4 linked regions of the Anolis sagrei genome follow. The protein of the gene in region 1 interacts with the protein of each later gene in a pairwise test. Links are inferred from orthologs where the notes say so. Each region holds a gene or a part of one and is shown in the gene's direction. Other genes may lie near its edges.

What was found.
Region 2: the proteins of AGTRAP (region 1) and PIMREG interact in binary tests that used the Homo sapiens proteins (3 or more experiments, as listed by UniProt). The two-hybrid records come from large-scale screens. The link is inferred for Anolis sagrei from reciprocal best matches to the Homo sapiens genes AGTRAP and PIMREG.
Region 3: the proteins of AGTRAP (region 1) and PITPNC1 interact in binary tests that used the Homo sapiens proteins (3 or more experiments, as listed by UniProt). The two-hybrid records come from large-scale screens. The link is inferred for Anolis sagrei from reciprocal best matches to the Homo sapiens genes AGTRAP and PITPNC1.
Region 4: the proteins of AGTRAP (region 1) and MYG1 interact in binary tests that used the Homo sapiens proteins (3 or more experiments, as listed by UniProt). The two-hybrid records come from large-scale screens. The link is inferred for Anolis sagrei from reciprocal best matches to the Homo sapiens genes AGTRAP and MYG1.

Annotation. Positions count from the first base shown.
Region 1 is NC_090033.1:10,224,566-10,232,236, reverse strand, and holds the start of AGTRAP (type-1 angiotensin II receptor-associated protein), read left to right. Parts: upstream 1-4,036; 5' UTR 4,037-4,198; coding exon 4,199-4,225; intron 4,226-7,671. Other genes in the region: draxin, read left to right, coding at 172-284. UniProt on the Homo sapiens protein: Appears to be a negative regulator of type-1 angiotensin II receptor-mediated signaling by regulating receptor internalization as well as mechanism of receptor desensitization such as phosphorylation.
Region 2 is NC_090031.1:28,578,310-28,586,443, forward strand, and holds the start of PIMREG (protein PIMREG), read left to right. Parts: upstream 1-4,467; 5' UTR 4,468-4,543; intron 4,544-8,113; 5' UTR 8,114-8,122; coding exon 8,123-8,134. UniProt on the Homo sapiens protein: During mitosis, may play a role in the control of metaphase-to-anaphase transition.
Region 3 is NC_090022.1:180,382,133-180,390,182, reverse strand, and holds the start of PITPNC1 (cytoplasmic phosphatidylinositol transfer protein 1), read left to right. Parts: upstream 1-4,734; 5' UTR 4,735-5,516; coding exon 5,517-5,576; intron 5,577-8,050.
Region 4 is NC_090022.1:190,944,750-190,952,703, reverse strand, and holds the start of MYG1 (MYG1 exonuclease), read left to right. Parts: upstream 1-4,421; 5' UTR 4,422-4,436; coding exon 4,437-4,718; intron 4,719-7,954. UniProt on the Homo sapiens protein: 3'-5' RNA exonuclease which cleaves in situ on specific transcripts in both nucleus and mitochondrion. Involved in regulating spatially segregated organellar RNA processing, acts as a coordinator of nucleo-mitochondrial crosstalk.

The DNA of each region.
Region 1 (7,671 bases):
TTCATCTACCCCTTCTTCCATCCCTCTATCCTTCCTTCACCCATCTGTCTACCTTTCCATCCATCCTCCCCTTCTTCCTTCCTTCCCTCCTCCGTCTCTTCTGGGGATGCTTCCTTTTTGTCACTCTTCCTCTCTTTCTCTTTCCTTCTTTCCTTCTTTCTTTCCTTCCAGGCTTGCGCTGCTTTGCCAAATTCCACCGCAACCGGCGAGTGACGCGTCGCAGGGGCCGCTGCCTGGAACCGGGCTCGGCCGACCCCGACCGGGGCTCCTTCATGGCCACCTAGGCCTCGTCCGCCCCTCCGTCCGTCCGCACAGAGGAACCAAACCACTTCAGTTCTGCTTCAGTTCTGCAGTGCGGACCCCTCGTCCCCGTCCCCCCTTTTAGGCCTGTTTCCTATTTGTAAATAAATAAAGAGATAGCTATCCTTCGCACACACCGGCTTGTCTTCCTTCTTGGCTTTCGGATCCTAAAAAAGAATTAAGTTTCTAGTCCTCATGGTTCGACATGAATATTATACTATTTATTTTTACTATATTTATTATTATTATTATCTAAATGGGAATATTATACTATTTATTATTATTATTTAATATTATTTAGAATTTAAAGGGCAGTGTTATACTATTTAGTATTATTATTTAATAGCATTTGGAATGTAAATGGAAATATTAATATTATTTATTATTATTATTAAATACTATTTAATACTATTTAGAATTTAATGGAGATATACTGTTTATTGTTAATAAATATTATTTAGAATTTAAATGGGAATTGTATACTGTAATATATTATTATTATTATTATTATTATTATTGAAATTGGAATATTATATTTATTATTATTATTAAATATTATTTAGAATTTAAATGGGAATAGTATAGTATTTATTACTATTAATTAATATCATTTAATATTTTAATGTTATTATTATTATTATTGAAATTGGAATATTGTATTATTATTAAATATTATTTAGAATTTAAATGGGAAAAGTATATTTATTATTATTATTATTTAATATTATTTAGAATTAAAAATGGGAATGGTGTACTGTTTATTATTATTATATATTATTATTATTATTTAAATATTATTTTTATTATTAAATATTATTTAGAATTTAAATGAAAATAGTATAGTATTTCTTACTATTAATTAATATCATTTAATATTTTAATATCATTATTATTATTATTTAAATGGGAATATTGTATTATTATTATTAAATATTATTTAGAATTTAAATGGGAATAGTATAGTATATATTACTATTAATATTTAATACTTAATGTCATTATTATTATTATTATTATTATTGAAATTGGAATATTCTACTATTATTATTAAGTATTATTTAGAATTTAAATGGGAATAGTATAGTATTTATTACTATTAATATTATTTAATATTTTAATGTCATTATTATTATTATTGAAATTGGAATATTATACTATTATTAAATATTATTTAGAATATAAAGGGGAATAGTATACTGTTTATTATTATTATTATTATAAATTATTATTATTGAAATTGGAATATTATATTTATTATTGTAAAGAACCTCCGCCACTGGTAATGAAGCTGCCACCCAATTGTAGAGAGACGCTACCGACTAGTGAGGAAGCGCCTAGATTTAGGAGAGAGGAGCCACTGATTTGTAAAAGGCTCTGGTATTAAAGCTCTGTTTGTGTTGTGAGGTAATTTTGGTAGAGTGGGTGCACCGAACGTAGAATTAATGGAGATGAGGCAGTTTTAAAAACCAAAGAGAACAAGTTTATTTTTAAACAAAGCGTATGGTTGCAGTATGAAGATGTTAAGCTTGGCAAATACTTGATGGTTACATGTAACTTGGTTGCGATACAATTCAGACTTTCGATGTTACAACTTATGAACTCTTGCTGTGGTGAAGCGCTTTATTAACCAGTGTTCCCTGCAATGAATGGTCTTTCTGTTTGATCTATACTTGATCAAATCACAGATCTCCAGTCTTTCTCCGACTAGCGATCCTAGCAAGCCTCTGTTAGTTCTTTCTAACTAAAGCAACTAACAAGGTTTTCCCCTTCAGCTTCCTTGTTGTTCATTCGTTCAGTCGTCTCCGACTCTTCGTGACCTCATGGACCAGCCTACGCCAGAGCTCCCTGTCGGCCGTCACCACCCCCAGCTCCCTCAAGGTCAGTCCAGTCACTTCAAGGATGCCATCCATCCATCTTGCCCTTGGTCGGCCCCTCTTCCTTTTGCCTTCCACTTTCCCCAGCATCATTGTCTTTTCTAGGCTTTCCTGTCTCCTCATGATGTGGCCAAAGTACATCAACTTTGCCTCTAGTCTCTTTCCCTCCAGTGAGCAGTCGGGCTTTATTTCCTGGAGGATGGACTGGTTGGATCTTCTCGCAGTCCAAGGCACTCTCAGCACTTTCCTCCAGCACCACAGCTCAAAAGCATCGATCTTCCTTCGCTCAGCCTTCCCTAAGGTCCAGCTGAAGAAATCTCTACTATTCACGAACACTAAAACCTGGCTCTTCACTTCTTCACTCCTCAGAGTCTAAAACTGACTCTGCTGCTCTCTCAGAGTCTTTCTCCCCTGACTGACTCTAACTGTCACTTTTTAAAACCTTTACTCTCTAAGCTCCTCCCACCTCCTCTTCTGCCTCGTTTCCATGGTAACACATTTCTCACAGCTAGGCCGCTCCAGCCTTAGGGCAACCAATGCAAACATAAATACAGTTATACGCATATTATTATAAACACTTCTGTACAATTATTATTAAATATTATTTAGAATTTAAATGGGAATAGTATACTGTTTATTATTATTATAAATTATTATTATTGAAATGGAAATATTATCCTGTTATTATTAAGTATTATTATTATTGAAATTGGAATATTATATTATATTATTATTATTATTATTATTTAGAATTTAAATGGGAATAGTATACTGTTTATTATTATATATTATTATTATTATTGAAATTGGAATATTATATTTATTTATTATTAAATATTATTTAGAATTTAAATGGGAATAGTATAGTATTTATTACTATTAATTAATATCATTTAATATTTTGATGTCATTATTATTATTATTATTGAAATTGGAATACTATATTATTATTTAACATTATTTAGAATTAAATGGGAATAGTATTCTGTTTATTATTATTATTGTAAATAATAATAATTAAAATGGGAATATTATTAAATATTTTAATGTCATTATTATTATTATTATTGAAATTGGAATATTATATTATTAAATATTATTTAGAATTTAAATGGGAACAGTATAGTATTTGTTACTATTAATTAATATCATTTAATATTTTAATGTCATCCTCATTATTATTATTAAATATTATTTAGAATTTAAATGGGAATAGTATACTGTTTATTATTATTATTATTGAAATTGGAATATTATATTTATTTATTATTAAATATTATTTAGAATTTAAATGGGACTAGTATAGTATTTGTTACTATTAATATTTAATACTTTAATGTCATTGTTATTATTATTATTGAAATGGAAATATTATATTTATTATTATTATTAAATATTATTTAGAATTTAAATGGGAGTAGTTTAGTATTTATTACGATTAATTAATATCATTTAATATTTTAATGTCATTATTATTATTATTATTATTGAAATGGGAATATTATACTATTTTATACTATATTATAATATTAAATATAATACTATTATTATTATTTAATATTATTTAGCATTATTATTATTATTATTATTATTATTATTGAAATGGGAATATTATACTATTTTTTTTATTATTATTATTATTATTATTATTTAATATTATTTAGCATGTCAGTGATGCCCTCCTTTCCTGAGGCTGAGAGAGTGTCACTCTGTCTGCACTCAAACCCAGAACCAGGGGGGGGGGCTTTAATTCGCATTAAGGTTCCCCTCCTGTCTACACTTGCAGAGTGAGTCCTCTTCCCTTGGAGGGAAGGAAGGAAGGAGTGGAGGGAGGAGTTTCTCTGCTGTGGCTTTTTTTGCTCAATTTCTGGGGAAGGAGTCATGAGGCTGGCTGTGGGGAGGAGCCCCAGGCAGAGAGAAGCAGAAGCGGAAAAGCAAAGCAAAGCAGAACCCGGGTCTGACCAGAAAGGAAAGGAAAGAAAGAGAAAGAAAGAGAAAGAAAGTCAAGAAGGAAGCCCAGGACCATGGAGGTCCCCTCTGTCAACCTCAAGGTGAGCGTGCAACAACGAGTGTGCAAAGGGGGGTCTTCTACAAGTGTCAACAGAAGAGTGAAAGGGAAGTGTGCAAAGGGGTTGCATAGAAGGGAAGGGTCAGTGGGAGAGAGTAGGGAGTGTGCACTGTGATTGTGCAAGGGGGTTGTCTACAAGGGAGGGGTCAATGGAAGTTTTAGGAGAGTGTGCACTATGGTTGTGCAAGGGGGTGTCTACAAGGGAAGGGTCAATGGAAGTTTTAGGAGAGTGTGCACTATGATTGTGCATGGAAAGGGAAGGGTCAGTGGAAGAGAGTAGGGAGTGTGCACTGTGATTGTGCAAGGGGGTTGTCTACAAGGGAGGGGTCAATGGAAGTTTTAGGAGAGTGTGCACTATGATTGTGCACAGGAAGAAAAGGGTCAATGGAAGAGAGTAGGGGAGTGTGCACTGTGATTGTGCATGGGGCTTGTCTACAAGGGAAGGGTCAATGGAAGAGTAAGGGGAGTGTGCACTGTGATTGTGCAAGGGGCTTGTCTACAAGGGAAGGGTCAATGGAAGAGTTTTAGGAGAGTGTGCACTATGATTGTGCACAGGAAGAAAAGGGTCAATGGAAGAGAGTAGGGAGTGTGCACTATGATTGTGCAAGGGGGTGTCTACAAGGGAAGAGTCAATGGAAGTTTTAGAAGAATGAGCACTATGATTGTGCACAGGAAGAAAAGGGTCAATGGAAGACAGTAGGGAGTGTGCACTGTGATTGTGCAAGGGGTTGTCTACAAGGGAGGGGTCAATGGAAGAGTTTTAGGAGAGTGTGCACTATGATTGTGCACAGGAAGAAAAGGGTCAATGGAAGACAGTAGGGAGTGTGCACTGTGATTGTGCAAGGGGGTTGTCTACAAGGGAGGGGTCAATGGAAGTTTTAGGAGAGTGTGCACTATGATTGTGCACAGGAAGAAAAGGGTCAATGGAAGAGAGTAGGGGAGTGTGCACTGTGATTGTGCATGGGGCTTGTCTACAAGGGAGGGGTCAATGGAAGAGTAAGGGGAGTGTGCACTGTGATTGTGCAAGGGGCTTGTCTACAAGGGAAGGGTCAATGGAAGAGTTTTAGGAGAGTGTGCACTATGATTGTGCACAGGAAGAAAAGGGTCAATGGAAGAGAGTAAGGGGAGTGTGCACTATGATTGTGCAAGGGGCTTGTCTACATGGGAAGGGTCAATGGAAGAGAGTAAGGGGAGTGTGCACTATGATTTGTGCACGAGGCTTGTCTACAAGGGAAGGGTCAATGGAAGAGTGTGCACTATGATTGTGCAAAGGGATTATCTACAAGAGAAGAGTTGACGGAAGTGTAAGGTGAGTGTGCACCAGGATTGTGCAAAGGGATTGCATATAAGGGAAGGCTCACAGAAGTGTGTAAATAAATATAACAACAACAACAACAACAACAATTGTGTAAAAGACCAATGAAGCACCAAGTATTTAAAAACGAGTGTGCAGGGGGGGCAGTTAATAATTGTGAGTTTTACCTAGTGCGAGGCACCAGGATGGAGGGGAAAAACCTTGGCTGTCCCATAGGGTTTTAGAGAAGTTACTTTCGCTCTCTCCATTATAAGGGGCACAGCTTGCATGTCCTTGTAAATCAATGTTACGAGGTAGGAAAAGTTTTCAAAAGTAATAACAACAATAACTATTATTATTATTATTATATTAATGGGGTCACCGTACGCCATGCAAATGCTAGAAAAGCAATTTCGAAATGGAAAAACCGAAAGCTGCCGAATGCTTGGAAATTCCTGCATTTTGCAAAATAGTCCAAAAATGGGGAAGATGCTGGCGCGGCCTTGAAATTCAACCGAAAGCGGCTCCCAAGGCATTCTTGTGATTCTCCTTTCTTTCCTTCCTCGTGTGATGCAACTTGATAAATCCCCGGCCGGCCGGCCGTGCGAATGAGCTGAAGCATCCAGAAGTGACCCAAGGAAAATAGGATGTTGTTTATGGTTTACCTTTGAGTCGCCGTGAGTCATTGCTTTCAATGAATTGCAGCGACCAAGGCAAGCCCGATTTAGTCGTAACATTTGTTTTTGGGGACATTATTGCTAGTATTAATATTATTATATTATTGTTAGATTAGATTAAATTATATTTCTTATATTTATTATTATATTATATTTCTTAGATTATTATTATATTTATTATATTCATTAATATTATATTTATTATATTATATTATACTTATTATATTATTATAATATAGTATATTATATTATTATTATATAGTATAATATAATTATATTATATTATTATATTATATTACTATATATTATATTTATTATATTTATCATCATTCTATTATTATATTTATTATCATATTAGATCAATCTATTTATTCATTAATATTGATTATATTATATTATACTTATTATATTATATTATATTATTATATAGTATAATATAATTATATTATATTATTATATTATATTACTGTATATTATATTTATTATATTTATCATCATTCTATTTATTATTATATTTATTATCATATTAGATCAATCTATGTATTATATTCATTAATATTGATTATATTATACTTATATTATTATATTATATTATATTATATTATTATATAGTATAATATAATTATATTATTATATTATATTACTGTATATTATATTTATCATCATTCTATTTATTATTATATTTATTATCATATTAGATCAATCTATTTATTATATTCATTAATATTATTTTGATTATATTATGTAATATTTATTGTATTGTACATTATAATTATTACTGTATATTATATTTATTATATACATCATCATTCTATTTATTATTGTATTTATTATCATATTAGATCATTATATATATTATATTCATTAATATTATATTAATTATATTATTTAATATTTATTGTAGTATATATTTCATTATTGCTGTATATTTATTATATTTATTATCATATTATATCATTATATTTATTCATTAATATTATATGTATTATATTCATTAATATTTATTGTATTATACATTTTATTATTACTGTATATTTATTATATTTATTATATTCATTAATATTATATTTATTATATTATATTATACATTATAATTATTACGGTATATTATATTTATTATATTTATCATCATTCTATTTATTATTATATTTATTATCATATTAGATCATTCTATTTATTATATTCATTAATGTTTATTATATTATTTAATATTTATTGTATTATATATTGTAATTATTATTGTATATTTATTATTATATTTGTTATATTCATGTCAATCTATTCATTATCATTGTATTTATTATCATTATTGTCATATTTATTATAATATTATATTTTTATTATATGTATTATATTCATTATTATGACATTAGATTATGATTGTATGCATAATTATTTAAATTATGGAATATTCATTATTATTATTATTATTATTATTATTATTATTATTATATTCCT
Region 2 (8,134 bases), on another chromosome or scaffold:
GAGTAGACACCAGCAACGAGGTGGCCAGCAACTCTGTGAGTGGGATTACACAGGATCGGTTTCAATGAATGCGTACTATGGATATATTTGGCTGGAATTATACAAGGGGCATTCATTAAAGATTTCCCCTGACCCACTTCTATTTATCACAGGATGCTGAAACTGCACATGTGTAAAGATATAAGTCTCTATAGCAGCGTTTCTCAATCTGGGGTTGCGACCCGGGGGGGGGGGGGGTCGCGAGAGGGTTTCAGAGGACAATTATCCATACAAAGGAGGCTGGGTCACCCCAACGAGGAGCCAAGGAGAGCGTCCCGGCGTCGTCACCCAATGCTCAAGCCACGCAGACTTTAGTACGACGGCGGCAACGATAGACAATTTTGAAACAACACTTGATTTTGGTACCGATGGGACCTTTAACTCAGGGTGCTTCCAGGCAGCACCAAATTGTGGGTTTTCCATTAGGGGCAAAAAAACCAAACCTTTCCCTATACAATCCAAAGCTCTCATATAACAGCTGGCTTAGATACTCTCATTGGAGTAGACACCAGCAACGAGGTGGCCAGCAACTCTGTGAGTGGGATTACACAGGATCGGTTTCAATTGATGCGTACTATGGATATACTTGGCTGGAGTTATACAAGGGGCATTCATTAAAGATTTCCCCTGACCCACTTCTATTTATCACAGGATGCTGAAAATGCACATATGTAATGATATAAGTCTCTATAGCAAAGTTTTTCAATCTGGGGGTCGCAAACCCTGGGGGGAGGCTGTGAGGGGGCTGCTGATGGTCTGATGGTACTGATAGTCTTTGGAACTCCCTTGGCAAAGAAAGCTGAAGATCTCTCCGCCTGTCATTCTTTTCCACCAAAAGCCCTTCTTTGCTGTGATTGGCCAGCCTCTCAGATAATGGGAGGGCTGTTTCTGACACACCATGCGAGGAGGGGAGAGCAGGTGTGCTCAGTGCATAGAAGCATGGTGCGCATGTGCAGGCGAGGGAGATCATGCAAGACTGGAGGGAGGCTCAGGCCAGCAAGACCCTTCAAAACATGGGAGTTCTGTGTGGAAAGTTTGGCCCAATTCTATCATTGGTGGGATTCAGAATGCTCTTTGATTGTAGGTGAACTATAAATCCCAGCAACTACAACTCCCAAATGTCAAGGTTTACTTGCCCTAAACTCCACCAGTGTTCACATTTGGGAATACTGAGTATTTGTGGCAAGTTTGGTCCAGATATTTCATTGTTTGAGTCCACAGTGCTCTCTGGATGTAGGTGAACTAAAACTCCAAAACTCAAGGTCAATGCCCACCAAACCCTTCTAGTATTTTTTCTTGGTCATGGGAGTACTGTGTGGCCAAGTTTGGTTCAATTCTATCATTGGTGGGGTTCAGAATGCTCTTTGATTGTAGGTTAATTATAAATCCCAGCAACTACAACTCCCAAATGACAAAATCAATCCACCCCCCAACTCCACCAGTATTCAAATTTGGGTGTAACGGGCATTTGTGCCAAATTCAGTCCAGTGAATGAAAATACATCCTGCAGATCAGATATTTACATGACGATTCAGAACAGTGGCAAAATTACAATTATGGAAGTAGCAATGAAAATAATGTTATGGTTGGGGGTCACCACAACATGAGGAATTGTATGAAGGGGTTGCGGCATTAGGAAGGTTGAGAAACACTGCATTAGGAGCAAAAAAAGAAAACCCATACCCTTCCCTACACAATCCAAAGCTCTCACACAAGAGCCGACTTAGATACTGTCATTGGAGCAGAGGCCAGCGATGAGGTGTCCAGTAACTCTGTGAGTGGGATTACACAGGAACAAAAGGCTGAAATTTCTAGTGGACATCTTGCAAGCTTTGAAAATGAGCAGCCAATGAGTCAAAGAGGAAAAGTGTGTTCCTGTGGAGTTATTCAAGTTATTCTTGGCATCGTCCTTTCTGAAGCACGCGAGGATGAGGCGGGGACGGACGGACGGACGGATGATACCGAGAGTGATTCGACATCCGGTCCTTCGGGTCTCAGTTGGGAGGGACGCTGCTTTGCCTCCATTCCTTTTGCGTTCGTCAAGGGACGGTTGAGGAGCTCAGTCATTTCAGGATGTTGTACTGGACGGAATAAGTCCCAAAATAAAAACAGTCACTGAAAACTGTGTGTTTTTTGGTACTGTTGCATTATCCAGGTGGAGGCCACTAGGAGGCGATAGAGAGGCATACGTAAAGGTTTTCCCCTGACATTAAGTCTAGCCGTGTCCAACTCTGGGGGTTGGTGCTCATCTCCATTTCTAAGCTGAAGAGCCGGTGTTGTCCGCAGACACCTCCAAGGTCATGTGGCCAGCATGACTGCATGGAGCGCCGTTACCTTCCCGCCAGAGCCGTACCTATTGATCTACTCACATTTCCATGTTTCTGAACTGCTAGGTTGGCAGAAGATGGGGCTAACAATAGGAGCTCACTCTGCTCCCTGGATTTGAACCATAAACCTTTCGGTCGGCAAGTTCAGCAGGTCAGCGGTTTAACCTGCTGCACCACCAAGGGGGGGGGGGGCTTAATAATAGGTACTGTTCCATTATACAGGCAGACGCCACTAGGGGGTGATAGAGAGGGGATAGTCCATTTTAATAATAATAAAATACTCACAATCTCTGAGGATGCCTGCCACAGATGCACGCTTAACGTCAGGAGAGAATGCTTTAGGAACATGGCCAGGCAGCCTGGAAAACACACAACAACCCAATATTTCCGGCCATGAAAGCCTTCGACAATACAATAACTATTAATAATTAATGGAATCAGAAAATACCTAATCCAAGCAATGCCAGTTCCATAAATCAAAAACAACAATTATTATTATAATACTGTTATAGAGAATGATATACACATCATCGATAAGAATAATAGTATAGAAATGTGGGCCACAATAGATAATCAACAACAACAACAGTAATATCAAATCATAGCATTGGAAGGACCAGAAGGTCCTATCAATAATAATAGTAATAATAATAATAATAATAATAATAATAACAACAATAATGTTGGAAGGGACCAGAAGGTTCAGTCATTATTATTATTACTATTACTATTATTAATGTTGGAAGGAATCAGAAGGCCCAATAATAATAATAATAATAATAATAATAATAATAATTTTGGAAGGGACCAGAAGGCCCAATAATAATAATAATAATAATAATAATAATAATAATAATGTGGGAAGGGACTAGAAGGTCCAATCAACAACAACAACAACAACAACAACAATAATTCTGTTGGAAGGGATCAATAATAATAATAACAATAATGTTGGAAGGGACCAGTAGGTCCAATCAGTAATAATAATAATAATAATAATAACAATAATAACAATAACAACAATAACAACAACAACAATAATGTTGGAAGGAACCAGAAGGTTCTATTATTATTATTATTATTATTATTATTATTATTATTATTAATGTTGGAAGGGACCAGAAGATTCAATCATTAATAATAATAATAATAATAATAATATTTTTGGAAGGGACCAGAAGGTCCAATCAATAATAATAATAATAATAATAATAATAATAATACTGTTGGAAGGGATCAATAATAATAATAACAATAATGTTGGAAGGGACTAGTAGGTCCAATCAGTAATAACAATAATAATAATAACAACAACAATATTGTTGGAAGGTTCAATCATCATCATCATCATTATTATTATTAATGTTGGAAGGGACCAGAAGTTTCAATTAATAATAATAATAATAATAATAATAATAATAATAATAATTTTAGAAGGGACCAGAAGGTCCAATCAATAAAAATAATAATACTGTTGGAAAGGATCAAAAGGTTCAATCCATAATAATAATAACAATAACGTTGGAAGGGACTAGAAGGTCCAATAATAATAATAATAATAATAATAATAATAATAATAATAATAATAATAACAATAGCAATAATAATGTGGGAAGGGAGGGACCAGAAGGTCCAATCAATAATAATAATAATAATAATAATAATGTTGGAAGGGACTAGAAGGTCCAAACACTAATAATAATAATAATAATAATAATAATAATAATGTTGGAAGGGACCAGCAAGTTCAATTAATAATAAATTTAATGCTATTAATTCAATAATAATAATAATAATAAGTTAGAGGAAAACTCAAGTCTTATTCAGTAATAATAATAATAATAATAATAATAATAATAATAGAAAATAGAGTGCAAAATTTGGAAATCAAAACGGAAAGAGAAGAAACAACAAAATAAGTAAGTAAACATCTAAAGACACAGAAAAGACATGGCACGCTGCAGTGCTCAAATATGACCACTGGAGGGAGGCAGAGAGCACGTGCCCATAGATCTAGCCAAGGGAAGAGCGCCGGCGCGGGAGGGGCAGCTTGAGAGGGGGAGGAGCCCGGGCCTAAGGCGAGCAGCCAATCAGAGCAGCGCAAGGGAGGGGGCGGGGCTTAGTTTGAACTTCAGCAAAGCAAGAGAGTGGGCGCGCCAGTTTTGCAAGAAAACAAGGTGAGTCCACTCATGTTTTCCCCTAATTGCAATTAGGAAACGTGAATTGCATGCAAATTAAGCAGCCTCCAAGCAGCAGAGTTTGGAAAAGTTTATTTACTTTGTCTTCATTGTGTATATAACCCCCTGAAACTCCATCAGTACTTGGAGTTTGTGATGTTGGGCAAGTTTACTCTGGGTGCATCATGGGTGGGGTTCAGTGTGCAGGGTAAACTACAACTCCCACTATGGTGAGTCACTGCCCTCAAACCCCTCCAGTTGGTTGAGTTAGTCATGGGGATTCTGTGTGCTAAGTTTGGTCCAGGTCCATCATTGGTGGAGGTCACAGTTTCTTTTGTTGTGGGTGAACTACAGCTCCCAGAAAGGAAGGTCAGTTTTCCCCAAACCCCTCCAGCAATCAAATTTGGGCATATCAGGTCTGTGTGCCAAGTTTAGTCCAGATCCATCAGTGTTTGGGTTCACAGTGTGCTCTGGATGTAGGTGAACTACAACTCCCCCAAATCAAGGTGAATTTTCCCCAAAGACCTCCAGTATTGTTTGCTTGTGATGGGAGCTCTGTGGGCCAAGTTTGGTCCAATTCCATCTTGTGTGGAGTTCAGAGTACTCCTTGATTGCAGGCGAACTATACATCCCAGTACCTACAACTCCAAAATGTCCAGGCCAGTTCCCCTCAAAACACACCAGTATTCAAATGCGGGCACATCGGGTACACAGGCCAAGTTTGGTCCGGATCCATCCTTGTTTGGGTTCGTAGTGTACTCTGGATATAGGTGAACTACAACTCTCAATCTCTCCAAATACCTCCAGTTATTTTTGGTTGGTCAGGGGGGTTCTGTGTGCCAAGTGAGCTCCAGATCCATTGTTGGTCTTGTTCAGAGTGCTCTTAGACTGCAGGCAAACTATACATCCCAGGACCTACAATTCCTATCAATCATGGTGACTTCTCCCCAAACCTCTCTAGTATGTTCAGTTGTTGATCAATTCTGCTTGGACATGTTTACGGCGCTCACTATAACCTGCAATGTCAAAATGGACGCCCCACACACACAAACACACACACATTTTCACTTTTATTATGTGTATTGATAGATGTATACATTCTTATTCTTATTCTTATTATTGCTAGCTTTACCCACCACATGTTGCTGTGGCCAACCTTCCCTCCCTCCCTCCCTTTCTTTCTTTCTTTCTTTCTTTCTTTCTTTCTCTCCTTCCTTCCTACTTTCCCTCCCTCCTTCCTTCCCTCTTTTTCTTCCCCTTGTACTTTCCCTTCTTTCTTCCTTCTCTACCTGTTTCTTTCCTCCCTTCCTTTGCTCTTTGGTTCCATCTTTTCTTGTCTCCTTCCTTCCTTCACTCTCTCTTTCCTTCCTTCTGTCATTTTTTATTTCCCTCTCTACCTTTCTTTCTTCCCTTCATTCTCTCCTTCCCTCTTTCTCTCCTTCCTTCCTTCCTTGCCTCTTTTTCTTCCCCTTGTACTTTCCCTTCTTCTTTCTTCCTTCTTACCTGTTTCTTTCCTCCCTTCCTTTGCTCTTTGGTTCCTTCTTTCCTTGTCTCTTTCCTTCCTTCCTTCGCTCTTTCTTTCCTTCCTTCTCTCATTTTTTCTTTCTTTCTCTCCTTCTTTCCCACTTTCTTACCTTCCTTCTCTCATTTTTTATTTCCTTCTCTCCCTTCCTTCTCTACCTTTCTTTCTTTCCTTCATTCTCTCCTTCCCTCCTTCTTTCCCTCTTTCTTTCCTTCCTTCTCTCATTTTTTATTTCCTTCTCTCCCTTCCTTCTCTACCTTTCTTTCTTTCCTTCATTCTCTCCTTCCCTCCTTCTTTCCCACTTTCTTACCTTCCTTCTCTCATTTTTTATTTCCTTCTCTCCCTTCCTTCTCTACCTTTCTTTCTTCCCTTCATTCTCTCCTTCCCTCTTTCTCTCCTTCCTTCCTTCCTTGCTTCTTTTTCTTCCCCTTGTACTTTCCCTTCTTCTTTCTTCCTTCTTACCTGTTTCTTTCCTCCCTTCCTTTGCTCTTTGGTTCCTTCTTTCCTTGTCTCTTTCCTTCCTTCCTTCCCTCTTTCTTTCCTTCCTTCTCTCATTTTTTATTTCCTTCTCTTCCTTCCTTCTCTACCTTTCTTTCTTTCCTTCATTCTCTCCTTCCCTCCTTCTTTCCCACTTTCTTACCTTCCTTCTCTCATTTTTTATTTCCTTCTCTCCCTTCCTTCTCTACCTTTCTTTCTTTCCTTCATTCTCTCCTTCCCTCCTTCTTTCCCTCTTTCTTTCCTTCCTTCTCTCATTTTTTATTTCCTTCTCTACCTTTCTTTCTTTCCTTCATTTTCTCCTTCCCTCCTTCTTTCCCTCTTTCTCTCCTTCCTTTCTTCCCCTTCCCGTGTATATTTGCTTTGTGTGTGTATATATGCATATATGTGTGTTTATATTTGTGTATATATATGTGTTTGCATAGATATGTGGTTTTGCGCATGCATTGTAATGTGTTTTTTTTTTTTGTTTTCTGGCTTTTAAAGTCTTTTCTGCTGTGTTCTTCAATGTTTTTATGAGTGTTGGTCACTCGTTGGTCTGAGAGGTTTATTGTGTCCAAATTTGGTGTCAGTTCATCCAGTGGTTTTTGAGTTCTGTTAATCCCACAAACAAACATTACATTTTTATTTATATAGATTATTATTACTCTATGTTTCTCTCAACTGAGATGCAAAGTGGTCCCAGTGGTGATCAGCACACTGGGTGCAGTGCCTAGACACTTGGGAAGTGTCCGACATGTGATCCAATACAACAGCCAGCAGAGTGATCTTGTCTGCTGTGGACTCATCTTGTTGTGTTTCTAATAATAATAATAATAATTGGCACACTGGGTGCAGTGCCTGAAGACCTTGGCCTGCACTCAAGCACAATCAGCGCTGACAAAATTACCATCCGTCACCTGCCAGCTGGAAAAGGCCACCCTACTGGGATCTGCACGCATTATTTGCCGATACATCACACAGTCCTAGACACTTGGGAAGTGTCCGACGTGTGATCCAATACAACAGTCGGCAGAGTGTCTGCTGTGGACTCATCTCGTGGTGTTTCAGATGATAATAATAATAATAATAATAATAATAATAATAATAATAATAATAATAATGTTTTTCTATAGATTGTGACCTAAGGCAGCTATTATTAAGGTAAAAGTAGTCCCCTGACATTAAGTCCAGTCATGTCTGACTCTGGGGTGTGGTGCTCATCTCCATTTCTAAGCCGAAGAGCCAGCGTTGTCCGTAGACACCTCCAAGGTCATGTGGCCGGCATGACTGCATGGAGCGCTGTTATTAGGGACCAGAAAATAAATCAATATTTTTATTTTATTAATAATAATAATAATAATAATAATAATTGAGTACTATTTTTGGTACTAATGTTGGAGAGTGGTCCCTGGTCAAAAAAAGTTGGGAACCACTGCTATATGGAAATCTAGTATATTAGAATATTACTCTCATTGCTCTTGCATAGAAGATACCAATAGCGTTGCACGGGATATGGATGAGAAACTTGTCCCAACTTAACCAGAATCCCCCCTTTTACCCCAATGAATAAGGGCAAGAGCATGGCCTCCTTG
Region 3 (8,050 bases), on another chromosome or scaffold:
TCAAGGATGCCATCTATCCATCTTGCCCTTGGTCCGCACCTCTTCCTTTTACCTTCCACTTTCCCCAGCATAATTGTCTTCTCTAGGCTTTCCTGTCTCCTCATGATGTGGCCAAAGTACTTCAACTTTGTCTCTAGTATCCTTCCCTCCAGTGAGCAGTCGGGCTTTATTTCCTGGAGGATGGACTGTTTGGATCTTCTCGCAGTCCAAGGCACTCTCAGAACTTTCCTCCAACACCACACACACACACACACACACACACATATGGTGGTGGGGTGGGGGTTGCACCATACATTGTAATGCATTTTTTATTTTTATTTATTTGGCTTTTTAAGCCTCTTCTGCTGTGTCTTTCAGTGTTTTTATGAGTGATGGTCACTTGTTGGCCTGATAGGTGTATTGTGTCCAAATTTGGTGTCAATTCGTCCAGTGGTTTTTGAGTTATGTTAATCCCACAATTTTCCCTGATTTTCCAATAAAAGTCTCACCAAGTTGAAGAAAATGCCACCGAGACGCTGGCCCAGTTGGGCAACCAGGAACTGTGGAACTCCCTGCTGCAGGTCAGATCGGTTTCAAGCCAGGGGCTCCTGGCTGGCACGCCATTAAAATAACCATTGGAGAGCCCTGTAATTACACATAGTTCCAGAATTAGACAGATGCTGTTAATGTTAAACAAAAGGGAAATGGGTGAGGTTCTTGTACCCTGTTCTTGTATATCCCATGTTTGTCCTTTCACTTCTGTATAGTAAATTTCTTTCTGAAGCATTTTGTGCCTACTATTGGAAAAAAATATTCTCATTTATTTAAGACATGTATATCACATTTCTTTCTAGCAGCTCACTTAAAATAATGAGTTTGAACTGCTGGCAGGAATGATTTGCTAATAAGAGCTGTCTTGCACATCATGCTGGAATGTTGCATAAGAAAAATGAAAGCCAGCCGAAAAGCACTGTATTTTTCAGCTTCAAACTTTGCTCAAAAGATTGCCCAAGAATGGCTGCGGTTGATAAAGCCTCATTTCACCTTGTCCTTATGCTTTTTTCTCCCCAGAGCAATGTCAATGGCTATTTTCTTCCTGTGTGTGAGTCCTTGGATCTGGCCCAATACAAATAAGACAAATATATTTTAAAAAATCTCGCCATCTGTTTACATGGCACTTTTCAGAGAACAAGTTTGTCAAGTTCCTGTCTCAGGGGACTTTGCAGTTTATAAATAGATGCACAGGAGGGGAAAACCAGTCAGAAGAAGGGAAACAGTCTGGTTGAGGTTATCAATGATTACGGTATTTCATTTACAAGTATGTTAAGTGCGAAGTGGGATTTTTGGGAAATAATGGGGCTCCCTCTTGGAAGCAATTCCAAATATTAAGGCACATTGGGGAAGAAGTAGCAGAGTTGTTTCAAGGAACAAGAGAACTGATGGCTGAGGTTGATAAGGCTTATTGGCTGATGTTAAGGGATGTGCTGGGCGGAAAACTAAATCCAGGGGAAAATGGAATGATTAAGGATATTTTTTTCCTCTCTTACATTGCCATATAATACAGATTAGCAAAGCAGTTTTTTTTTGTCGTGTCAGGATCGACCTGAGAAACTGCAAGTCGCTTCTGGTATGAGAGAATTGGCCGTCTGCAAGGACGTTGCCCAGGGGACGCCCGGATGATTTTGATGTTTTGTCATCCTTGTGGGAGGCTTCTCTCATGTCCCTGCATGAGGAGCTGGAGCTGATAGAGGGAGCTCATCCGCCTCTCCCCGGTTTCGAACCTGCGACCTATCGGTCTTCAGTCCTGCTGGCACATGGGTTTAACCCACTGCGCCACCGGGGGCTTCAGCAAAGCAGATAATCCACATTCTCTACTTTGAACAGGATTATATGAGTCTACACTGCCATATAATCCAATTCAAAGCAGATAGCCTGGATTTTATATGGCATTATAGAAGGGGCCTCAGATAATCCAGTTCAAAACATATAATGTGCATTACCTACTTTTATAATCTGGATTATATGGCAGTACAGAAGGGGCCTCAGATAATCCGGTTCAAAACATATAATGTGCATTACTTGCTTTTATAATCTGGATTATATGGCAGTGCAGAAGGGGCCTGTGTCCCTTCCAACTAAGGCCCCTTCCACACAGCTGAATAAAATCCACATAATCTGCTTTGAACTGGAATATATGGCAGTGTGGACTCAGATAACCCAATTCAAAGCAGATATTGTGGGATTTTCTGCCTTGATATTCTAGGATATAGGGCTGTGTGGAGGGGCTCTTTGTGTTGCTCTGGATTCCTTTGCTGGTGATCTGTGTATCATCATGAGATTCCCCCCTCCCCTCCCCAATGACTAATTTACATTTGCTTGAATGCTTCTGGAGATTGAGATTCCAGAGCTGCCAATTTCATTATCATTTATCAAGATACACTTCTTTGTTATCAAGACATTCCTCAGGGCAGTTGCAGCAGATTTATGTATGAAACACCTTACCCTGCAGGCCTGAAAAATGATTTGTTAAGATAATTGCCAGTGTGGTCTGAATTACTAGTGACTGATTCATGTAAAAAAGAAAGATGATTTGGGGTGCATCCAGGGTAAAGGTAAAGGTTTTGCCTGACATTAAGTCTGGTTGTGTCTGGCTCTGGGGGGTGGTGCTCATCTCCATTCCTAACCAAAGAGCTGACGTCCAGAGACACCTCCTAGGTCATGGGGCCACGGAAAACCATTACCTTCCCGCCAAAGCAGTACCTATTGCTCTACTCACATTTGCATGTTTTCAAACTGTTAGGTTAGCAGAAGCTGGGGCTAACAGCGGGAGTTCACCCTGCTCCCCAGATTCAAACCGCCGACCTTTCATTCCGCAAGTTCAGCAGCTCAGTGGTTTAACCCGCTGCGCCACTTTCTACACTGTGGAATTAACACCACTGTAGCTGCCATGGCTCAAAGTTAGGGAATCATGCACCAGCACCAGGCCCATAGCCAGGATTTTGTTTCGGGGGGGGGGGGGGGGCTGAATTTTTTCAGGGGGGGTTTCGGGGGGGGGCTGAGTTTCGGGGGGCTGAGTCTGAGTGAAAGAGGGTCTACCCTAGCAAACCTTTTGTATCATTACCCCAATAACCCCATGCATATGGGATATATTGAGTATGGTGATCAGATCATGATATGAATAAACATAACAGTTTAAATAATGCACCAGTAAGGCCTTTTCGCGAACCACCATCAGAATTTCGGGGGGGGGGGGGGCCTGAAGCCCCTCAAGCGCCCCCCCCCCCCCCGCTACATGCCTGACCAGCACTATTTGGCAGAGAAGACGAAGGCCCCTTCTACACTGCCATATAATCCAGATTATCAAAGCAGATAATCTACATTATCTGCTTTGAACTGGATTATATGAGTCTACACTGCCATATAATCCAGTTCAAAGCAGAGAATCTGGATTTTACATGGCTGTGTAGAAGGGGCATAAGTGCAACTCCCAGGATTCCCTTGGATTGAGCCATGGCTTTCAAAGTGGTATCAATCTGGATTAATTCCACAGTGTAGATGGAGTCCCGCAGTGGTTACCCTTTCAACACTGTGAGCTGCTATTGAAGTATTTTCACATTGCTAATTTCACGTGTCGAGATTGATTTAACCGTCGTGATCGTATTTCCTTCTATTAACCTGCACAATGTTTTAGTGGGACTCTCTGCCCCGGAGTGTGGTGGAGGCTCCTTCTTTGGAAGATTCCTCTCACCTCTTCAGGAGTCTACCGTATACCACGCAGCTGTGGACAAGTCTACATAGGGACCACCAAACGCAGCGCCCAAACAAGAATCCAGGAACATGAAAGGCACTGCAGACTACTCCAACCAGAGAAATCAGCCATAGCAGAGCACCTGATGAACAAACCTGGACACAGCATTTTATTTGAGAACACAAAAATGCTGGACCACTCTCACAACCACCATGTCAGACTACACAGAGAAGCCATTGAAATCCACAAACATGTGGACAATTTCAACAGAAAGGAAGAAACCATGAAAATGAACAAAATCTGGCTAACAGTATTTAAAAAATTCTAAAATTGCAACAGCAAAAACAGCAGGGAGAAAAACAGGCAGGGACATCTAATCACCCTTCAAGAAGAGTTTGCTCCAGGCACAGTCAGCCCATTGTATGCTAATCAAGGTGGGCAGTTGAAAGATTCACACCCAGCCCAACTTACAAAAGCCTTTTGTCTCACCCTGGTCATTCCACAGATATATAAACCCCTTTTTTCCCAGCTCCAGCAGACCTCACCTCTGAGGAAGCTTGCCATAGATGCAGGCGAAACGTCAGGAGAAATGCCTCTAGAACATGGCCATATAGCCCGAAAAAACCCACAAGAACTTTTAAACAGAGGTGGATGGCCATCTGTCAGGAGTGATTTGAATGCAATATTCCTGCTTCTTGGCAGGGGGTTGGACTGGATGGCCCATGAGGTCTCTTCCAACTCTTTGATTCCATGATTCTATGCTTTTACATTCATACTGTTTGGAACGACTTCTGGTTTCCCTTATGCCAGTTTCAACTGTTTGGGTTTTACTCAATGGCGTGACATTGGTGTTCGGGAACACCACTAAAATCATCCTTTGATATTGATGGTGTCTGACTACAATTTGCTTCCACTTTGCTCACTGGCTCCTGAGCAGGGACATGCTGTTTTGTTTAAAAGGCTCGCATTCTTTGCGGTGCCATTTCCCTATTGGCCGGATGGGGCCATCCTTCCTGCTGTGGCTGCTGATGTCAGAGCCACTCTCTTTCACACACCCTTCCTAAGGTTTGCTGCTGCTGCAGAGACTTCTCAAGGCAACCAGATACAGATCCTTACTACAGGCTGTGGTGGGGAAACCCAGCCCCCAGGAATGATCAAAGGTGGGAGGAAGAGCCAAGGCACATCCTGTCTCTTTCCCTTCCAGTGCACTAATGCTGGAGGTTGAAGTACAGTAAGGTGAACAGAACCTTGTTTACCCATCTGGGAAGGAAACCTTACAAAGCCTTTGTCTTGGAAGTCAGCAGCATCTCATCTCTGCCGCTGGCTGATCCAGTCTCCTGCCACTACTGCTGATACTACCATACCATCTTGGACTGCTTCAGCTATTTTTACTTATTTTTTTCCCCTATTGCTCCAAGAATGTCTTGATAGAACTGCGAGGAAATTCCATCTTTTACAAGGTTTCTCGTGGATTCCTTTGAATTCACAATGAGAGCAGTTTATCTTTGAGACTCCTTTGTGTTTGTGGAAAAAAACCACATGACTACATTTTGAAGCAGAAAAATAGGAAGATAGAAGAAATAGGATTTTTTTCCTCTCTCTCTCTCTCATTCTCCCTTTTGCTGGATCAGCTTTCTAGATAGTGGCAGCGGCACATTGCACATACGCTGTCAGGCACACGTACTGCAGGGTGCTGGTGATCTTGGCAATTTTAATATTTTTTGAATATATATATATATCTCAGAGTGCACTGTGATCACATTTCTCCTGGATTGCTGTTTTGCATTGAATGTGTAGGAATATGCTCATGAAGGAGTACCGGATCTGTATGCCTTTGACAGTTGAAGAGGTAAGTGCATTGGCTCCTAATACACTGTGCCTTCCTTAACTCTTTCTTTCCTGCATGTGACCAAAAATGAGCGGATGAAATGCAATTTTATGCTGTGGGATCTTTCTACTGTAATTTAGTAAATTTAGTAAATCATAGCTTGCTTGCAACAGAAAATATGGGCAAAATGAACACAATTACATGGTAGTTGACTGTGTCAGAGGTTTTCTAAAGGTATATATACCAGGCATGAGCAAACTTGGGCCCTCCAGGTGTTTTGGACTTCAACTTCCACAATTCCTAACAGCCGGTAGGCTGTTAGGAATTGTGGGAGTTGAAGTCCAAAACACCTGGAGGGCCCAAGTTTGCCCATGCCCGGTATATAAGCAAACTTAAACATCTGGAGTCATTTGTCATGGCTGATGTGGGCTCAAATTAATGTAATGAGAGTGTATGCAGGTAAACAAAACTTCAATCGCAAAAATAAGCAAAGATAATCTGTTCCCAAAATATGCTCCTTGAATCCTCCAGTGTTTAAATATATAGTTTTGTTTCTCGAGTTTTGCTTACCTGATATTCTCAGTTGGCTTACGCTCTCTTTGTCACATTTTTAATGTGGTTTTTTTAGCATATTTTTCTGAAACAATGTGCCATCTACCTTGTGAATACTACAATACATTTCTAAAACTCTCTACTGAGAGTGGCTGCTGAAGAAACAGATAAAACAATATAAAAGTGAATATAAAGATCATGGTATTTCACACGCAGAAGATGGAATCAGTTACAGTTTTAATGTCTTATGAACTACCTTCTGAGAATAAACTTTGGATACTATCCACATCGGGTCAACTCCTCTCTTGTTTTAGGGCAAGTTGATTGTTCCTTGACTTTAGAGAAGTCTTGACAACAAATTGTTGTGCTTTTTTTTTAATGGCGATCTAGTCAAAATCCTGAAAGTTTCTTTTCTGCTATAATTTTGGGTAATACACAAAATGCATTCAGTTTCTTTTCTTATTGTTTCAAACATACTTCAGTCCACAAGGTGGAGCTTTGGACATGTTTTTCCATTGAGAGTTTTGTTCCTACCTTGTGCTTGATAAGAATACCACAGCTGGATTGCTTGCTGCAGATGTCTAACTGGAAAGGTTAAATATACAATTGCATTGCATAGAGCACACATTGGAAACCTGGTGGTTCTGAGGACTTGTAATGTTTTTGCTGTTACAAGAAAAGTGATACAATGCACGAACGCTGTCTTTCAAAATATGTTTTTATTTAAATGATAACACAGAAATGCAAATGTCAATATCCCAAGGCATTCTGTTTTGGGTTGTTGTAGGTTTTTTCGGGCTATATGGCCATGGTCTAGAGGCATTCTCTCCTGATGTTTCGCCTGCATCTATGGCAAGCATCCTCAGAGGTAGTGAGGTCTGTTGGAACTAGGGAAAAGGGTTTATATATCTGTGGAATGACCAGGATGAGACAAAGGACTCTTGTCTGCTGGAGCTAGGCGTGAATGTTTCAACTGACCACCTTGATTAGCATATAATGGCCTGACAGTGCCTGGAGCAAACTTTTGTTGAGAGGTGATTGGATGTCCTTGTTTGTTTCCTCTCTGTTGTTGTGCTGTTGTGATTTTTGAGTTTTTTAATACTGGTAGCCAGATTTTGTTCATTTTCATGGTTTCCTCCTTTCTGTTGAAATTGTCCACATGCTTGTGTATTTCAATGGCTAGATGCAGGCGAAACGTCAGGAGAGAATGCCTCTAGACTATGGCCATATAGCCCGAAAAAACCAACAACAACCTAGTGATTCCGGCCATGAAAGCCTTCGACAATACATTTTGTTTTGATCTTATCTGCTTAATTCCTACCCATAATTCAGTGCCTCTTGAAATAATTGCTAATCTTTGGGTTGTGAACTAGCAAATTGTTCCTTTGAATTGTTGTACATGTGTATTTAAGTGTACAGTTAATTCTCCCTTCACAGTTCATGATTATCATTTCCTTGGCAGCCAAACCGTCCCTCTAGTTTTTAAGATGTATTCAGATAATTGCATAGAAATTGGTATTTAACAACTAATAATAAGGTTACACCATTTGTTAACGTGTGTCTACCTTAGTCTTGTATGGAAAGTTGGCAGGTTTCAAGAACACCCTCTAGGGCAGTGTTTCTCAACCTTCCTAAACCCGCGACCCCTTAACACAGTTCTTCATGTTGTGGTGACCCTCAACCATAAAATAATTTTCGTTACTACATCATAATTGTCATTTAGCTACTGTTATGAATCGTCATGAAAATATCGGATCTGCAGGATGAATTTTCATTCACTGGACCAAATTTGGCACAAATACCCCATACGCCCAAATGTGAACACTGGTTGAGTTTGGGGAAAATAGACCTTGATATTTGGGAGTTGAAGTCCTAAACACCTGGAGGGCCCAAGTTTGCCCATGCCCGGTATATAAGCAAACCTAAACATCTGGAGTCATTTG
Region 4 (7,954 bases), on another chromosome or scaffold:
TACATTAAATTCGCTAGAAACGCCTATGCTGAACAATTTGCACCAGATTATGTGGCTTAATTCAATGTGTAAATAGCAATTTAATATAAGTTGACAATGTTCTGTTATAAAACCCAATTAGATTTTAGACATTTTAAGAACAATTACATTTGAAAGCTGCTCTTTTTTGAGAGATGCTGGATTTTTTCCCCCAACTCTGCATGTGAACGTCAAACATGTATCTATCTATCTACAGACACATACAGTGCAAGAGGAGTAGCTTCTTTCCAAATGTGAAACACAAATCATCTCTTGTTTGTTGCCTTGTGTAATTTAAATGGCCATGCAATGCACTTTATATTAAAAAAATCAGTGGAATGATTTAAAGAGACAAATCTATATTTAATTATAGTAGTTCTGATGATGAAGAATAGAGGTGATTGCTATCTTTTTATTCCTTTGTACATCTTTGGGCTTTTTTCTAATGGATAAAAGAGAAGATATAATATAAAAAAAATCCAGAGCTTTATTGACATGATAAGGAATGATTGAATCCTGTTTTCATAAGTTGTAAGTGTAATATGCTGTTACCTTATTAATAAACATGTATTGCTTTGTGACAACACAATCATTTGAGTGCGATTTATTTACACTGCAGTCCTCCACATTCTTGGCTGAGAGGTGTCCAGAGGAACAAGTAAATTCATATAAGGTCACACTATCAATTTTCTTGTGATAAAAATATTTTAAAATGTAAATAGTTTATATTGATTCAGAAGTGGATGGATTTCAGGATGGTATGCTCAAATAGACTGAAGCAAGACAATACTAAACATTATGGGCTTTTTGTGTGTCGGGAGAAACTACAAGTTGCTTCTCGTGTGAGAGAATTGGCTGTCTGCAAGAACGTTGCCCAGGGGACGTGTTTTACCATCCTGTGGGAGGCTTCTCTCATGTTCCTGCATGAGAATCTGAAGCTGACAGATGGGAGTTCACCCCGCTCCCCGAATTTGAACTACCAGCCTTGCAGTCAGCAGTCCTGCCAGCACAAGGGATTAACCCATTGTGCCACTGGGACTAACTCCAATTATTTCCAAGTGGCACAGATCCATTGATTAAACAGGATTTGTGAAGTCAACACTTAGTTTGAGGGTCTACTAATGGTAGGATTTGTCCTAAAGCATTAAACAGTAAAATGGAAATAAAAATTAAAAAATATGTTTTATATCTCCATAATGCACTTGTCAATAACTGGGTGATGCTGACATGTTCCTCCCTTTTACTAGTTTTACTAGTTCATTTTTGGTAATCCAGTTCTCAAGTGATTTAATGTCAGAAAAGTTAGGGGAGAATTACATAATCAACACCGCAGATCATGTTCCATTCAGGATCCACATTCTCATCTCCCTTTTCTCATGGATATTAATGCTAATTCTCTTTTTCCTTGGGGGGAAACCCCTTTGGATGCAGAAGTTGCATCCAGAGCTATCCTGAAATCTACGTCGTCGTTTATTCATTCAGTCGCTTCTGCCTCTTCGTGACCTCATGGACCAGCCCACACCAGAGCTCCCTGTTGGCTGTGGCCATCCCCAGCACCTTCAAGGTCAAGCCAGTCACTTCAAGGATACCATATACATCCATCTTGCCCTTGGTCGGCCCCTCTTCCTTTTTCCTTCCATTTTCCCCAGCATCATTGTTTTCTCTAAGCTTTCCTGTCTTCTCATTATGTGACCAAAGTACTTCATCTTTGTCTCTACTATCCTTCCCTCCAATGAGCAGTCTGGCTTCATTTCCTGGAGTATGGACTGGTTGGATCTTCTTGCGGTCCAAGGCATTCTCAGGATTTCCCTCCAGCACCACAGTTCAAAAGCATCTATCTTCCTTCGCTCAGCCTTCCTTATGGTCCAGCTCTCACATCTATAGGATACTACGGGGAATCTTCATACTGGTATGATAGATGGGTCTGGAAGCTCAGCATTATGCACATTCCGCAACAGTGGTTGTGAATAAGGAAAGGGACCACATGGCCCAGAGAAGGGGCGGAGTGAGAGCGGGAAGAGCGGCACACTGAATATAGTAGTAGTAGTAGTAATAATAATAATAATCATCATCATCATCATCATCTTTATTTATACCCTGCCACCATCTCCCCAATGGGGACTCAGAGTGGCTTACATGGGGCCAAGCCCAAACAACATATTACAGCAAAATAAAACCAAAGCATAAACAAGCAACATCATCAAAATTACATAAGAAAAAAACCCGATATGAATACAGTAACAAAATAACATTACAATAAACACAATCACAGTAACAGTGAGTGGGCCACATGTACAGGATAAAACGTTAAAATACTCTTAATGAGATAAAAATAGGAGCAAGTAATTTGCAGGGAGCTCATAAAGACACACAGGGAGGTAAAACTAAACTTTCCGTTTGGGGGCGTGTACTCCAGTGACAGAAGCGTTGAGGGGAACAATAGTGTCAATTTGTGTACCTACTCGCCAAAGACGCAGCGGAAGAACCAGGTTTTAAGGTTTATGTTAAACGTTTCTAGTGTAGGGGCTTTCCTGAGCTCTCCAGGTAGTGAGTTCCAAAGTCAGGGAGCGACAGAGGAGAAGGCTCTCTCCCTTGTGCCCACAAGATGAGCTTGTGAGATTGGCAGGGGTGAAAGGAGGGCCTCCCCTGAAGATCGAAGGGCCCGGGCTGGTTCATGGAGGGATATAGGGTCACAAAGGTAGGTGGGTCCCAAACAGTTTAGGGCTTTGTAGGTGATAACCTGCACCTTGAATTGGGCCCGGAAAATAAACGGCAGCCAGTGGAGCTCCTTAAACATGGGGGTCGACCAGTTATTAATCTGGCTGCCGAACGTTGGACAAGTTGTAGTTTCTGGGCCATCTTCAAGGGTAGCCCCATGTAGAGTGCATTACAGTAATCCAGTCTAGAGGTAATTAAGGCGTGGACCACCATGGACAAGTCAGACTTCACGAGGTATGGTCGCAGCTGGCCATACGAATATACTTCATAGTTGCATTTGGTGGAAGGATAGAAAGGAGGGGAGGCTCAGGGTAAGGGTTAGGGTTAGGGTTTTACCATTAAAGAACTCTTACATTCCTTCTATAATATCTATGTTCAGCCTGGCTTACAGTACCTCAGTCTCTGTCTCGGTCATGTGTTCTGTTCTGCGTTGCGCAAACAGAGCTCTCGAAGGAGCAAAGCGGAAACAGTATAACACTATCAAACTATTACTGTTTCTTCTTCCAGCTCTCTACATAGGCTTGCCTATGCATCTGCGTAATCACGTGCTAGCATTAGCCTTTCTTTTCTTAGGCGATCCCTCGTTGTCTGAGTAGGGTAGTCTTCCAAGAGCAATGTACTGGTGGGTCCATAGGTGACTGTGGAGCCTTATTCTTGATCTGCATCTTCTCCCGCAGTGAGGGCATCCGTTTCCAGGTGGAAGGTGGTCCTGGTTGGGGTTGGCTTGATGCGCCTTCCTCTTGGCACGTTTCTCTCTTTCGCCCTCCATTCGTGCCTCTTCAAACTCTGCAGCACTGCTGGTCACAGCTGAAAACAGCACTCAAGGGCCAGGGCTTCCCAGTTCTCAGTGTCTATGCCAGAGTTTTTAAGGTTGGCTTTGAGCCCATCTTTGAATTTCTTTTCCTGCCCACCAACATTCAGTTTTCTGTTCTTGAGTTCGGAGTAGAGGACGATCGCTTCAGCGCTGGTGGTCTTTGCTTCTTCCAGCACGCTGACATTTGTCCGCTTGTTTTCTCAGGAGATTTGCAGGATTTTCTGGAGGCAGTGCTGATGGAATTGTTCCAGGAGTTGCATGTGACGTCTGTAGACAGTCCACATCTCGCAAGCGTATAGCAGGGTTGCGAGGACAATAGTTTTATTAATAGCTTTCCAGCAGTCTTCAGCCAATCCCTCTCCAATGCCACTGATACAGCTTAATGGTGTAACATTAGAAAATGTTGACCATTTCCGCTACCTTGGCAGCCACCGCTCCACCAAAGTCAATATCGACACCAAAATACAACACCGCCTGAGCTCTGCGAGTGCAGCTTTTTCCGAATGAAGCCGAGAGTGTTTGAGGACCATGACATCTGCTAGCGTTAGCTCTAATAGGAACGTGCCCAGGTGGCTTAGGTAGGCTCAGCATGACGTCAGCGCGAACCTCAGCCCCCTGCTGGGTCTAGCGCCTGACGTGCTCCCGCAGATTCTGGGAAATGTAGTTTAAAGAAGCCAAGCACCTCTCTAGCTGTGCATGCCAAGGTCTCCGTCCTGAACTACATTTCACAGAATTCTGCAGGAGCAACTCCGATTGTCTCCGTTCTATAACGCTGGGCGGTATATATAGCTCTCTAAATGTGTATTTTAGAATAACAAATTTAAAGGTGGTCCCCAGCGGGATTCGAACTTGCGAACTTGCCACCTTGCAGGCCAGGAATGACCGCATGGCTCTAACTCTCTGCGCCACCGCTGCCTCTTTTTTTGTTCTCTTTGCCCTCTTGGCTGCTTCTGACGTCACAGGGGTTCTGGACCTTCCGCGGGGCGTGGCTTTGGCCTCCCTCGCTATGCGCATGCTCAGATTTCTGGTCGGAGCTCCACGCCGCTTCTGCCTCTCCATGCCGGGCCCGAAGCGCCCGCACCCGGCCCGCATCGGGACCCACAGCGGCACCTTCCACTGCGACGAGGCCCTCGCCTGCTTCCTCCTCCGGCTCCTGCCCGCTTACCAGGTACGCAGCCTCTTCCCCGCTTTGCAAACAGCCGGCCCCTGTCGCCGTAGAGTGGAGAAGAGCGGTGGGACTACAGCCCCCATGATTCCTCGGGGCCAGCTGGCTGTGCTTCCTAAGGAAGAAATGCGCGCAAGGGGCAATGGGAATCGTAGGCCAGAATTACTCACTCTATACACACACACATAATGGGGGGAAGACCTAATTCTAAATGTGAAATCCATTGATTCACTTATGTCATGTAGCTTGTATGTAATTTCATACATTCACAATATTCTTAATCGATTTGTGCGTGAATCAAAGTTTGTGCACTTTGAATTGCCAGAAAGCGAAGGACACAAGGAGTTCGCATTAGTGTCATAGAACACAGGCTTTCATTTCCCAATTGGCCAGTTTGCTCCTGCAGAATTCTGGGAAATGTAGTCCAGGGAGAAGGCTTTGGAATTCTCAGCCAGAGAGGTCCTTGGCTTCCCTAAACTACATTTCCCAGAATTCTGCAGGAGCAAACTTGGCAATTGGGAAACGAAAGCCTTCGTTCTATGACACTAATAGGATCTCATGGCTTCTGGGGCCTGGATACAGTTACAACTGGTGGAAATACACATTCCCCCTTTGGGATGTAAGATCTTGGCCATCATGCTCTTATTCTGTCTGACAGCTACTATGAAAAGCAGTTTTGCAGCATTGATGTTGGTCCAGAAGTCTCTATGTCCACCAGACACAGAATAAGGATTTTTTTTTGTCGTGTCAGGAGCGACTTGAGAAACTGCAAGTCGCTTCTGGTGTGAGAGAATTGGCCGTCTGCAAGAATGTTGCCCAGGGGACACCTGGATGATTTGATGTTTTTATCATCCTTGTGGGAGGCTTCTCTCATGTCCCCGCATGAGGAGCTGGAGCTGACAGAGGGAGCTCATCCACCTCTCCCCGGATTTGAACCTGCGACCTGTCAGTCTTAAGTCCTGCCAGCACAGGGGTTTAACCCACTGCGCCACCGGGGGCTCCAGAATAAGGATGATGACGCTGATATACCAAATAGGTGTAAACCTGCAGATAGGACAAAATGGCTCATCATACAGGCTTGTGATGCACATCCGATAATGCTCAAATATGTATGATAGACCATTACAGCGATACCTGATTGTGGGAGGGAAGGCAGAATGACCAGAGACCACAGGATGAATGGACAACGTGACAATAATAACAACAATAATAGTAGTGATACAAAAATTATTCATTCACATCATTTGATCATAACACAGAATTTATATAACTAAAAATGTAATGTTCGTTTGTGGGAGTAACATAACTCAAAAACCACTGGGTGAATTGGCACCAAAATTGGACACAATATATCCATCAGGCCAACGAGTGACTATCACTCATAAAAACAGTGAAAGACACAGCAGAAGAGACTTAAAAAGCCAAAAAACAAAAATTACATTACAATGCATACACAAACACACACATATACACATATCTAAATAAATAAAAATGTAATGTTTGTTTGTGGGATTAAAATAACTCAAAAACCACTGGATGAATTGACACCAAATTTGGACACAATACACCTATCAGGCCAATGAGTTACCATCACTCACAAAAAAACACTGGAAAACACAGCAAAAGAGACTTTAAAAATCAAAAAACAAAAATTACATTACAACGCATGCACAAAACCACACACACATATATATGCAAACACACATATACACAAATGGACACACAAAACACATATACACAGACTGGGCTACAGCAACACATGGCAGGGGACGGTTAGTATATTATAATAGAATACATTCAATAAAATGCCCATATTAAAATATAGTTCTATAAAATACACATATTAAAGTGCACACAACAAAGACTAACACCAATACCAATAACATGCAAGTTAAAATTCCCCATTTAAAATTGACTGGATAGGCCTGCCAGAAGAGATGGGTCTTCAGCTGTATCTTATATCCCAACAGCTGATTTAGCTGTTGAATCTCTTCTGGCAGGTCGTTCCATAGTCTTTTGGAGATGGCCAAGGAGCCGCCGGTGGCACAATGGGTTAAACCCTCCTGCTGGCAGGACTAATCGACCGACAGGTTGGCATTTTGAATCCGGAGAGCGGGGTAAGCTCCTGTCTGTCTAGCTCCAGTTCCCCATGCAGGGACCTGAGAGAAGCCTCCCACAGGATGGTAAAACGAAAGACAGGAAAACCTAGAGAGGCAGGAATCGCGAGACTAATAAAGAACAAAGAACAAGGAACCTAAGATAGAGCTAGTAAAGTATAGAAAAACGAGAGAAGAGCAAGAATCCAGGAACAAGGAAGGAATTAGCAGACACCAACAGACACAGCAGATTCAAGATACACTGTCATATATTCCAAACTTCAAAACAATACATATACTTATATACACACATATATAACAATAATAATAACAAAACAATAATAACCGAATATTATAAAAAATAAAAAATAATAATAATAAAATAAAATAAAATAAAAAAAACCACAAACAGGAAAATAAATACAAAAAAAAAATACAGAACAACTGCAACCTCAGATATACTGCTCCCAGATAAGCCTACGAAAATAGGTTCAAACTTACCAAAACGGAGGCCAAAATATATATAAGAGGAGCTTTGAAGAACTGGCTAAAAATGACAACACCCAAGATCAAGACAGATAAAATCGAAAAAACTGACAAAACTGATAAAATAGAAAAGACTGAACCAACAGAACAAAGAAGAGGATCAGTATCCGGCAACCCAACAGGAAAAGAGATATTAAAGGAAATACAGAAGATACTGGAGCAACAAGAAGCAAATCAAGAGAAACAAGATGCCTATCAAAAGGTTGCAGAAGATCAAAGAATGAGACTTAAGAACGATTTGACCGAGGAAATGGTAAAAATGAGAAAAGAAATCACAAACGAACTGGGAGAAATGAAAAAAGAAATGGATGCCATGAGACAGGAAATGAGAAAAAATCAATTAGATGTAGCTAAACTGGAAGAAACACAAGAAAAAATCAACCGCAAGCTAGAAGACATAGAAATAAGAGAGGAGAAGATTGAAGCAAAACTAGACCAAGCTGAACAGAAAGAATTAGAATATTTCCTAAGATTCCGGAATATACAAGAAGAGACACAAGAAGACCTAAGAAAAATCATCGTAACAATGACAGCAGAACTACTGGAAATCGCAGAAGAAGATGCAGAGACAAACATTGATAGGACATATCGAATAAC